3 linked regions of the Drosophila melanogaster genome follow. The protein of the gene in region 1 interacts with the protein of each later gene in a pairwise test. Each region holds a gene or a part of one and is shown on either strand. Other genes may lie near its edges.

The links.
Region 2: the proteins of STUB1 (region 1) and CG6425 interact in a two-hybrid assay, tested with the Drosophila melanogaster proteins (one large-scale study listed by BioGRID).
Region 3: the proteins of STUB1 (region 1) and Rbp9 interact in a two-hybrid assay, tested with the Drosophila melanogaster proteins (one large-scale study listed by BioGRID).

Annotation. Positions count from the first base shown.
Region 1 is NT_033779.5:10,435,535-10,439,291, forward strand, and holds STUB1 (STIP1 homology and U-box containing protein 1), read left to right. Parts: upstream 1-2,013; 5' UTR 2,014-2,304; coding exon 2,305-2,427; intron 2,428-2,506; coding exon 2,507-2,705; intron 2,706-2,766; coding exon 2,767-2,908; intron 2,909-3,056; coding exon 3,057-3,162; intron 3,163-3,221; coding exon 3,222-3,278; intron 3,279-3,347; coding exon 3,348-3,590; 3' UTR 3,591-3,706; downstream 3,707-3,757. Other genes in the region: holn1 (hole-in-one), read left to right, coding at 552-655, 715-907, 973-1,635.
Region 2 is NT_033777.3:26,715,633-26,719,389, reverse strand, and holds the start of CG6425 (uncharacterized protein), read left to right. Parts: upstream 1-2,000; 5' UTR 2,001-2,125; coding exon 2,126-2,192; intron 2,193-2,251; coding exon 2,252-3,274; intron 3,275-3,339; coding exon 3,340-3,371; 3' UTR 3,372-3,757. Other genes in the region: Yif1 (Yip1-interacting factor 1), read right to left, coding at 1-23, 82-468, 524-1,062, 1,364-1,412.
Region 3 is NT_033779.5:2,952,997-2,956,753, forward strand, and holds the start of Rbp9 (RNA-binding protein 9), read left to right. Parts: upstream 1-1,765; 5' UTR 1,766-2,317; intron 2,318-2,383; 5' UTR 2,384-2,511; intron 2,512-3,757.

The sequences.
Region 1 (3,757 bases):
TTGATTCGACAATTAATTGTAACACAGCGGATTGGTGAAAAAAAAAACTATTAACTTTTGATTCTAGGGACCTCTCACAAGCAGGATGACATTGGAGGAAAAGAATTTACGCGAAAACTCAGCGCAGGCGCAGTTAACAGTCGATGGTTTTAAGACTGGTTTCGATATTTAATACTTTAAAAATGTTGAGGATTTATTAATTCAAACTGCAATGAAAAGGTATATTTTTAATAACAATGATAATATATTAAATGCGAGTAGGTGTATATTAATATCTTCTTATTCAGCTTGCAAATCAATCAAATCTAAGTCTATTTCTATAAGCTTTCTTCACATAATCATACTATATATCAAATGGAATACAAAACATATTATATATACATTAATTAAATATAATTTAAATAAATTTTAGAAACTACAGGAACATTGGTATTGGAACAGCATATGTTCCAGCTATCGATATCAGACTTACCTTCACTAACGTAAATAGAATCAATAGTCGCTTAAAAATATTGACATTGCATTTAGTTTTGTCTTGAGTTCTTGATAAAATGGCGAGCAAAAGAAAGCACCAAGCATCCCAGAAAGTGAAAGAGGAATCCTTCAAGAAACACACGCTTGACTCCGATGAAGAGGATTCTGACGACTACGAAAGGTAATGCTTAAAATGTGCAAACAATTGATTGTTTTGATTTCGGCACTTTTTGTTTGCAGGGAATACCTCAATGATAGCGACATTGAGGGCGGCGAGGAGGGCGTGGCAAAAGTGGAAGACGATGTGAAGGTAACACCCTTCAATATGAAGGAAGAACTGGAGGAGGGACACTTCGACAAAGATGGTCACTACCATTGGAACAAGGAGACGGAAGCAAAGGACAATTGGTTGGACAACATAGACTGGGTTAAAGTAAGGATTCCATCACTGCTGCCTGTACACAATCATTTAATTTAAAAGCAATATTTGCCTAACAGATTGGCACACAGAAGAACGCCTTCGACCCGGCAAAAGATGAAGAAAACTCTTCCGATGAGGAGAAGAACGAACCCGTGGGCAAGGCCTTTAACTTGTCCATGAACCTCATGAAAATGGTCGAGTTTATGAAACCGGGAGAGACTGTCAAGATGACCCTGCAGCGTCTGGGTAAGCAGCGCCCCGTCCTAACAACCCTTCAGAGGATTAAGCAGAAAAAGGCCGGCATCGTTGACCCAAAGACACAGGAAATCTCTCAGCTCACCGAGCTGGCCAACGAGATTCTCTCGAAGACGGGCAATATGGATATATATCAGGATACGTACGAAAGCATCAAGGCCAAGATCGCCGATTTGCCAGGAACGAGCAAACCTAAAGTAGCCGATGATATTGATATGTATGCAGATGATTTCGAAACGAAAGAATTGGAGCGCTCTAAGACATCGTCGAGTGATAGCTCCAAACCAACGACGACTACCTCAGAGGTGACCTGGGAGTTTAAATGGTCGCAGGATGAGACTGATATCCAGGGACCCTTTTCCACGGAGAAAATGTTGAAATGGTCCCAGGAGAACTACTTTAAAAACGGAGTCTATGTGCGAAAGTGCGGCGAAAACACAAATTTCTATACAAGCAACCGCATAGATTTCGATTTGTACTTGTAGGCCTTAGTTAACAAATGTTAAATTCTTTGGGTTTTAACATGTTTTCTGCAAATACTTTGTTCTATAATTGTATACTGTATACTTTACAAGAGGTTTCAATTAGTTTGCACTTGGTTTGGACTTAAAATAAAATTCATATTCATATTGATTCTGTCGGCTCTTAAATTTGGTCAGATATACCAAATTATGTATCCGAGTTACTTGCGCTAGTGACGAATAGCGAAAGATTCTTCTATTAGACCCACTAGTTCAGTAAGAGATATCTGATAGTCGAGAAACTCGAAAATGGCACTGTTGTTTTTGAAATGTGCAAACGATAGTGTGGCAAAAGTATCGTTTGGGCGGTGATAGTGCAATCGATGAATGTGCAGCTTTAATTTAAGCTTGTGAGTCTTGGCAACTCTAGAAACACATCGATTAACGTAGCTGAAAATTGTTTTATGTTTAATTAAATACAGGCGAATAGCTCAAGATCTTTTTGGTGTTATGAGCGTTCAAAAGTCACTACCGTTTCCCACTTAATACTTTGTTAACTGTTAAGTTCGTGCAGCAGTTCCCCAATTCTTGCAGAGGAAACAAATTTACGAGTGCTTCGGTGTTGTTGGACACACACTCACTTTTCATCGGTGGAAAATCAAATTTGGGACCAGGCGCAGAAGATTCGTCAGGATGACGACCAAGCACATCTATTCCACGACCAATTTATCAGATCTGCAATTAAAGGAGCAGGGAAACTGCTTGTTTGCAGCCCGAAAATATGACGACGCAATAAATTGCTACTCAAAGGCCATCGTAGGTGTCTCACATATTTTTGTTATTGTGATGTGTATTTTGTTGTTTACATGTGCACTATGCTCCATATAATATGTAGATAAAGAACCCCACAAACGCCACATACTTCACAAACCGAGCCCTCTGCAACCTGAAACTGAAGAGATGGGAACTGTGCTGCCAGGATAGTCGGCGCGCCCTCGACATCGATGGGAATCTGTTGAAGGGTCACTTCTTCCTGGGCCAAGGACTCATGGAAATCGACAACTTTGACGAGGCTATAAAGCACCTTCAACGGGGTTAGATAATACCTGACCTTTGATGTTCTCTACACTAACTAACCATATATGAAACTTATAGCATACGATCTGTCCAAGGAGCAGAAGCAAAACTTTGGGGATGATATTACACTACAGTTGCGACTAGCTCGCAAAAAGCGCTGGAATGTTATGGAGGAGAAGCGAATACAGCAGGAAATCGAGCTGCAAAGCTATTTAAATGGGTAAGATGTTATTCGAATTCTCTAGATGCCTTTTGCAAACTAAATTTAGTCACCGCACGACGATATCGAGGCAATTGTTGTCCTCATGTGATAGAATATATATTAAAAAAAGCGAAATTTGTGCAAAACCTAAATATTTATGTTTCAGTCTAATAAAAGGGGACATGGAAAGCCGTTTGGCCAATTTAAAGCTGAATGGAAATGTACACGATGAGCAGCTGAAAGACAAGCAACAGGAAATTGAGCAAGAATGCGTAAGTTGGACTTTAACCAGAATATTTAGCGGAGTTGACAATCTAATTTTACTTTTTAGGATGACCATATTAAGGAACTTAACAATATATTTTCTAAGGTTGACGAACGTCGAAAGGTAAGAAACTAAAGGAAAAATAACCAATATTAAAAATATTGTTCTAATATTGTTATTTACATATTACAGAAACGTGAAGTTCCCGATTTTCTATGTGGCAAAATAAGTTTTGAAATATTAACAGACCCTGTGATAACTCCATCTGGAATTACGTATGAACGAAAAGATATAGAAGAACACTTGCAGCGGGTTGGACATTTCGATCCTGTGACACGCGTTAAGCTCACTCAGGATCAACTAATACCAAATTTTTCAATGAAGGAAGTGGTTGACTCTTTTATTGCCGAGAATGAATGGTCTTTAGATTATTAAGTTACTTATTAGTTGGCATTGTCATTGTAATTGATTAGATGTTAGAACCCAGTTCCCATTGTCTAAAAACCAGATAAGTGATAATAAATGTGGATCTGCAATTGAGATTTATATTGTAAATGGATAAATTGTAATTATTAATAAATTAAACAGCATAATGTTCAAAA
Region 2 (3,757 bases), on another chromosome or scaffold:
AGTTTCGTCCGCAACGTGCGGAGCTACAATGAAGGTAAGATTACTGATTGCTCCACAAGTGTAGAGCAAGCGCAAACTCACCATGAAGAAACCGAAGGAGAAACTGGTATACGCCAGTGCTATATAATATCCAGACTTAAAGAACAGCGTGCTAACCATCAGGCAGACAACTATATTAACGTACTTATAACCAGTGAATGCCAGCAGATCAAGCGTTTTCAGGCTCGTCTTCACATTCATTACGTACAGGGCTAGGGAGTAAATGACCAATTCGAAAATGCTATATGCCATGGCGCTGGAGGCCTGAATGCCGAGCTGCTCCGGCGAAAATCGCTTCTGCATGCCCAGAAGCAAACCCGCTACGATCACGTATGTGATGTAGCCCATGGTGGGCAGATAGAGATCTGGCGCATTAACATCATATCGTGGTTGCACTGGGTGCTCTTGGTCGTAGCGCAGGGACCAATCCTGAAAGGAGTATGTAATTTATATGGTTTCTCCGTTTGTGCTTCACCACTCTCACCTTATGCATATAGGGGAAAAACAGAAGGCGCAACTTCCTGCCCACGTAGGCGTTGTCCACTGCGAAGTAGTACTTGAGCTTGGCTACGGGCACCCACTTCTCGAACTGATTCTCCATGATCTGCTTGCCCTGATCCGCTAGTTTCTGACCGTACTGCATAGCCATGTCTTGCACGATGGGCTGCTGGAACATGGCGAACTGTGGGTACTGTCCAGTGGGTGGAGCTACAGGCTGAGGTGCTCCTATTCCGTAGGTGGGTGGCCCAGCCGCCTGTTGGGGAGGTGGTGCTCCATATCCGTATCCGGGCTGCTGTTGTGGTGGCTGCTGAATGTGCTGCGAGGGCTGGCCGAGATTGGGGTCGAAGCCATAGCTGTTGACCGGGGCCGGAGCAGGTGCTCCGTACATATTGGGATCTAGTATTCCGGGGCCGGTGGGCGGGGCCATGAAGGTGGCGCCACCGCCCATCATCGGAGCCGAGGGTCCCATGGCGTTAACATCACTCACACGCTTCGGCGGCCTTGGGCGACCGGCAGCTGAGGCTATTTTGGGACAGAGCAACCATTAGTTAGTGCCGGAGGATCTAAACGATACAACTGGGAAGCGGGGAACACAGGCACTCAAGCTACACACGCATCACGGAACGGAAACGCACAGCAGGCATAGAAACTGGGGAGCAGGATGCAGTGGAAGCCAGGAGCGGCGCACAAAACGGGGTAACGTGTAACGTAAACAGTGACAGCACTCCGGATTCCGATTCCGGTCAGCGGCGGGTGGGGAAATTCCGGAGTGGCTGCACCGGACATCCTTCAGGTATACTTGCTTGCGTAGCCTGATCCTTACAGTTCTCCCACTTACGGTTCCGCATACCCGGATTTGGATTGTAGTTCATCTTTCTGGATCAGTAAATTGTATTCAAAATTTCGCTTTTTAACACATCACCATAAGCATTTTGTTGTGTGACCGGAGTTTAGTGTTGCCAAATACCAAAGCATGACCGCCTACCAGAATGTTTGCACTCCGATAGATAAAATACTAAAAGTTACAAAAAAAAATTATAGATATCTTTGTTTTTTTTTTTTTTTGTATTATATTTTGTATATTTGTACATTTCTCTATTTTTATAACGTTTACTCCGTAAGTTTACTTATATGTAAATTTATACACTATTTTATTTATACACTAAACTTTCTTTAAGACAATTTCCTATTGTTCATCTTATTGCGATATATGGATTTATGTGCCAATGGATGTCTCAGTACTCAAATAACTGATTTCTTGCATTGGTGGTAACAGAAATATCATCAAGTCAGCCATTATATAAAAGAACATATGTAGATGAAAATTTAAATTGATTGTATTTTAAAGATAAAATATTTTCATAGATTTTGGAGAGTGGATTTTTTTATTAAACTATGCGTTTAAGTGGAAAAGGGCTATAAACAAAACGAGTTGAATAGCAGAGTGACCATGTGAGTTTTGACAGTGCCATCTGGCAACACTGTCGGCTTACTTTAATTTTTAGCGCATTCCGCAGCGCAAAACAAAACAAATTTGATTAGTTAAATAATTGACTGCAGTTCACTTTATTGTTAAGTCAAAGTTATGGAGAACGCACTTAAACGGCGATCTTTAACGCTCAGCACGCGTCTGCTGCATAAGCGCCACAGTGGTAAGGATTTCCAAGCTCGAAAAATCAGGAATATCCATAAAACAATCCTTTGTTAATAGCTTCACCACAGAGCGTACGCACAGGGCACAATGTAAGTGTATCCGTGGACACTCCCGGCTCGCCCAACTCCTCAGCAGTAGTGGGAATCACGTCCGACCTGGAGAGCACTCCACCACACAAACACAAGCCCAGCTTGGACGACAGTGTGGACTTCTCGCCCCGTTTGGACATCAGCCTTTCGCCCAGCTGCCTCTTCTCCCAGACACTGGCCACCGAAAGTCCGGAGGTGGGCTGGCGCTGGAACCGAAGCAGCAATGCCACCACGGACAGTGGCTTCGACTCCGCGGAAATAGGCAGTTTGAGCCAGCGCGAACGACGCCGGCAGATAGCCTTTAAGGGCGTCGAGGATAGACGCAGCCAACTGGACAATGAGCAGTGGCGGGCACAGCAGATGCGGGCTAATGTTCTTCTTAAGGAGCGCTGTGCTAGGCTCAATAGCCAGTTGGAGCAAATAGCTGTGTCCGAACCAGTAATGCCACTAAAAACTCCTAAAGCTCCGTCACCTGTTGCTCCCCGCACAAGATTAACCTGCACGAAGGCTACGCCAGAGCCAGTGCTTTCCCCTGTAGCTGCCTCCGATCCAATGGCAGACTTCCTCAACGACTCGGAGACGGATCTCTTCCTGCTTGAGGCCTCCCAGCAACTGGAGTCGAAAATAGAACACCATGAACCTCCCAAATCAAGCACAAGCACCACACCCACTAGGCACCACACGGCAAAGCGACCCTCCTTCTACATGAAATTTCTGGAAGACGAAAGCGAGGGCGAGGACTGGCTAAACGCCCTAGAAGAGGCAGTGCAGCAGGCCACAATGCCGAAGAAGCCGCGCACCTCGCTGCAGCGCTACAAATCAATGCCAACCACAGGGGATTCGTGCAGCGGAGTGTCCACCCTGACCAATGTGACGGCCAATTCAAATGCCTGCACAAGTGCCTCCTCCGCATCTGGTTCAGAGCTAAGGGATACTCCGCGCATCAAACGGCACGCCAGTTCGCACGCTCTGTCCCCAGCCACATCGCATGGTAAGTGCCAGAGTGAAGTCAAACATTTCTAGACCAAAGCAAACTCATCATTTCGTTCCCTGCAGCGCGCGGCAAACTCTTTGGCAGCCGGAAATGAAACCCGATTAGGTAACCAGCCCCTGAATACAATCAGCTTCCCTTCAGCGAGTACCAATTGTGATGAGCAAAGTTAGAGTTTAAGATATTTCGTTTTGTTTCGCTTGACTTGCGTGCCCCCTTGCCTGAGCATTCTGTATACGAGTACGCTAATTGATTAATGCAGCTCCAAAGCGTCTTTGAAAATGTTAATTTAAGCCTAATTAAAAATTAATTGTAATTTAAAGCAGGACCCTTAATATTCGCATCGAAGGCCTGTGCGTTCGTTCGGCGCATGCGACTCGCCATATGTTCGGCATTATCGGGCCGCGAACGCGCCGCCCACCAGTACCACCAGTACAGGTGGCAGGACGCAGACGGACAGGTGGATACGACTGGTCGCCGACA
Region 3 (3,757 bases), 7.5 Mb from region 1:
CACGTTTTTAGAACAAAATACATGAATGAAAACAATATATATTTATATTAATATATATTTCAAATATATACACGCAATTGTATTTCTCTTTTGGTTTTATTTCTTTCAACCCATCCATAAAACCACCTCATCCACAGTCTATTCCCAACATAATTCATAAATTCATAATGGGTGCCTCAAAACTCTCACACAGACGCAACAACTAATAGTGCATTAGTAGACTTAAACGAGTTAAAAATCAATCGAAATAGACTTGCCCTCGAAATAGTTATATAAGCTGTACATATAGCCGCCAGTATACAAGAAATATATTTTTAAATGCCAAAAAGTGAGCGCTGTAAACTACTTTAAGCCAACTTCAATCAGCAGAATTTGAAAATGAGTGGGGATTGGGATAGGATGGTACGATGGTAGGATGGTAGGATTCTGGAATACATTCATATATTGACCGAGTTGAGCAGCCAGCATTTTCTTGTTGACTTTTATTTTGGCATGTACGAAATCGAAACTACGAAAATCAAAGCAAAAATGTAACGAAAAACAAAACGGAAAGCAAAACAAAGTAAGAAAGAATATTAAATTAATATTAGTAATGGTTCTGGGGAAACAAGGCATTCGCTCGCATTCGACAAATGAAACCGAAAACAAACATTTAAATTGTAGACAAATTTTAAGTTATCACTAAAATGACGAGTGCCGAATGCCGATGGAGAATTTGCGCAACTTTATTGTGCAGTGCAACTACATAAGTGTAATTATTATAAATTGGTACACATGCATACATATGTATTGTTAATTATTAAAACGATGTAAATAATACAATTACGTAGGCGGGAAGACACGGACACAAACATGCATATAATTAAAGTAAGCATAATTACATGCCTAACTATAAATAACTATATATTGGTATATATAAAGATATATAATATATATATATTTTTATATATATACACGATGAATTAAACTAAACAACGTAGAAATCATAGTTAAATTTTTTCGAAGTGACAAGATTAACGTGCAGCAATAAGCAACCGACAAGAACAACAACAACAACCACAACAACAACAAAAACAAACGAAACGCGCCTAGTAATAGTTAATAATTCTATTTTGTTAAGCGTTATTGTAGTGAAACGAAACAAAAGAAAACCAAACAAAAACAAAAACAAAACCGAACCGACAGATCGAACAGCAAAACCAACAGAATTAAGTTTTAAGCTGGACTTTGGAACGTGGAAAGCGAGTAGAAAACCAAAATGAATGCAAAACATGTTGTTCATTGACAAAGCTAAAAGTAAATATATATTTTGTACAAATATAATTAAATTCAGCCGCAGCTAAAACCAAGTACACTTATTAAAGTTTAAGCAACAACAGAACAACAACCAATTTAATATGCAATTACCGTAACAGTAGTTGATAAATCGAACGAATAAAACATCAAAAATTGTAACATTTACATAACTGCCTTTTGTGTCTTGCTTTTTTTTAACACTATGGATGGTTGTAATAACGGAAGGAGATGCTTTAAAAATTCAGTGTGACCAGGCAAGGTTATAAATTCATGTCCATCTGTTTCAAACAAAAGCTGGAAATTCTTAACTCCTGTTCCTTAGGGGAACACTTGAAGCCGAATGCAATTAAAACGATTTCTTATCTTGATAATGCTCATGACGAAAGGAAGTTTCGATCAATACGAGAAAAACTTTTTGCATGATTAATCGATCAGTGCTGGTAAGTCGCCAAAGTAGTCTGTCAGTGTTAGCAACTCAACGTGTTACTTGCTGTGCTTTCGACAGCGTGGTGTCGATTCTTCGAATTCATCGTTTACAACTTCATCATAAGGAATGCAAAATCAAAGCGATTTTGTGGGTGAGATCCCCAGGTACACTCGCAACAAGAGAAGGCAATATCAGCGCCAACGACGTAAGGCACATCCGCAAATTCCAGGGGTATTAACAGGAGGACCAGAGCCAGAGAAAGTCAACAATTGTCAGAGAAAGAGACCCATCAAGGGCCACGTGTATGACTCCACCAGCGAGGAGGATATGACCATCAAACGTAAGCATACAGACGCCTCGTGGTACAAGGTTCAAGTTAAATGCGAGAATGTGTCCCCGAACATCGAGGAGAAGCACGGCAACAAGATCAAGCAGCCTTCCTTAGCGTGGAACAACAACAGGAAGCCCAATAAAGGGGATCTACCACAACCACCGCTATCTTGGCTTTATCCCAACCAATCTAGGGGCTTTTATGACAACCAAAGCTGGAACTCTGGCGGCTCACGTCAGAATCAGTCGCAGTGGGAAGCACCAGTAAGCTGAAAATCAATTATTCATTTAAATAATTAAATTAACCGAATTTTATATGCACATCCGCAGAGGCAAGAACATTCATCTTCAGCTCAAGGCCGTAGTGCCAGGAACCCATATCTGAACCCTATTCAGGAATCCTGCAATGGGCGTTATATTATTGAACATCAATGGAACACGACCATTATCCATCACAAGTAAGGTAAGGCAACAAGAATGAATTACATAAAAACCTATTCGCTAAAGAAGATTTAACACAGCCACTTATTGTACACAAATCTATAGTATGTCATTTATAACTACATCGTGGGGATTTTCCCGATTTCCCAAACACAGGACATTTTCATGAAAGGGCCTTACATGTCTGATCAGTTAGGTAAGGGTTAAAAGCGCAACATTTTGAGATGCATTGGGCCCCAACACCTATGCAAAGTGAGTGCATGCATGTGGGTTGCTGTTATTGTGATGGTGTGCAAGCAGCAACAAAACAAACCGCATATAAATAAGGAGAGCGAGGTATTGTTGCATACTTGTAGGCAGCGGGATGGGGGTGGAGCTGTTCTGTTCCATCCGCTCGCAAAGTTCAATGGTCTTTTGACACAAATGATGATGATGTCAAGTTGAGCTCGTCCTACGCTCCTGCCTTGCTCTCTCTCTCTCTGATGCTCTTTCTAGCTTGCGCTCTTGGGTTTAAAGCCCCTCTGGCACCTTCCCTTCAGTCAGCAGCCGTTGTTGTTGTTGCTTAAGTGTTTGTTTGGGTGCCGTGCTGGCTCTCTCAGCTCCAACAACAGCAATGCGGCCGGCTTACGAGCCCCGGCTCTCTTCGCCTCTTTTGGAGCTCGCTCTTTGCCGAACGGAGAACCTACCGCAATTCGTTTCGTGTTCACGGCTGCATTTCCTTGTTTATGTTTTGCGAAGCCAAATGTAGGGTACATCGGTTAAGTGCCGAGCCAGGAGAAAGAGAGAGCGAGCGAACGAGTACCGTTATGTTGCCGGAGCTGTTGCAGGCTGCGCAACTTGCGGCTGCAGCTTTTTATTATTTGCCTTCTTCTTCGCGACCGTTACTTCTCGCATGGTACAATGGTGCAACTGTGCCCAAGCTGTATATTGAAAATAAAACAGCACTTCTGCATCTCACTGATGTGCAATGGCATTTAAGCTTATCCTGAAACGTGTCAGGTGCATTTACTTATTTCTATACATTTACAAATTGTTGCATAGGTTGTCTTTTGAGTTTAGTTGGGACCGAAATCCATTATTTCAAATAAAATAGAACAACATTTTGGATATAACAATACATATTTAGCATATGTCAGGTCAGTCTAATATTATTATCTATATTTGCAACACAAGAAAGTAGAAGGGTTAAAGTTCGCGCTCAATGTTTGAATTTGTCCCACTGTGCATGCGAGAGCAAAACTACGCAGTTATGCTGTGCATTCG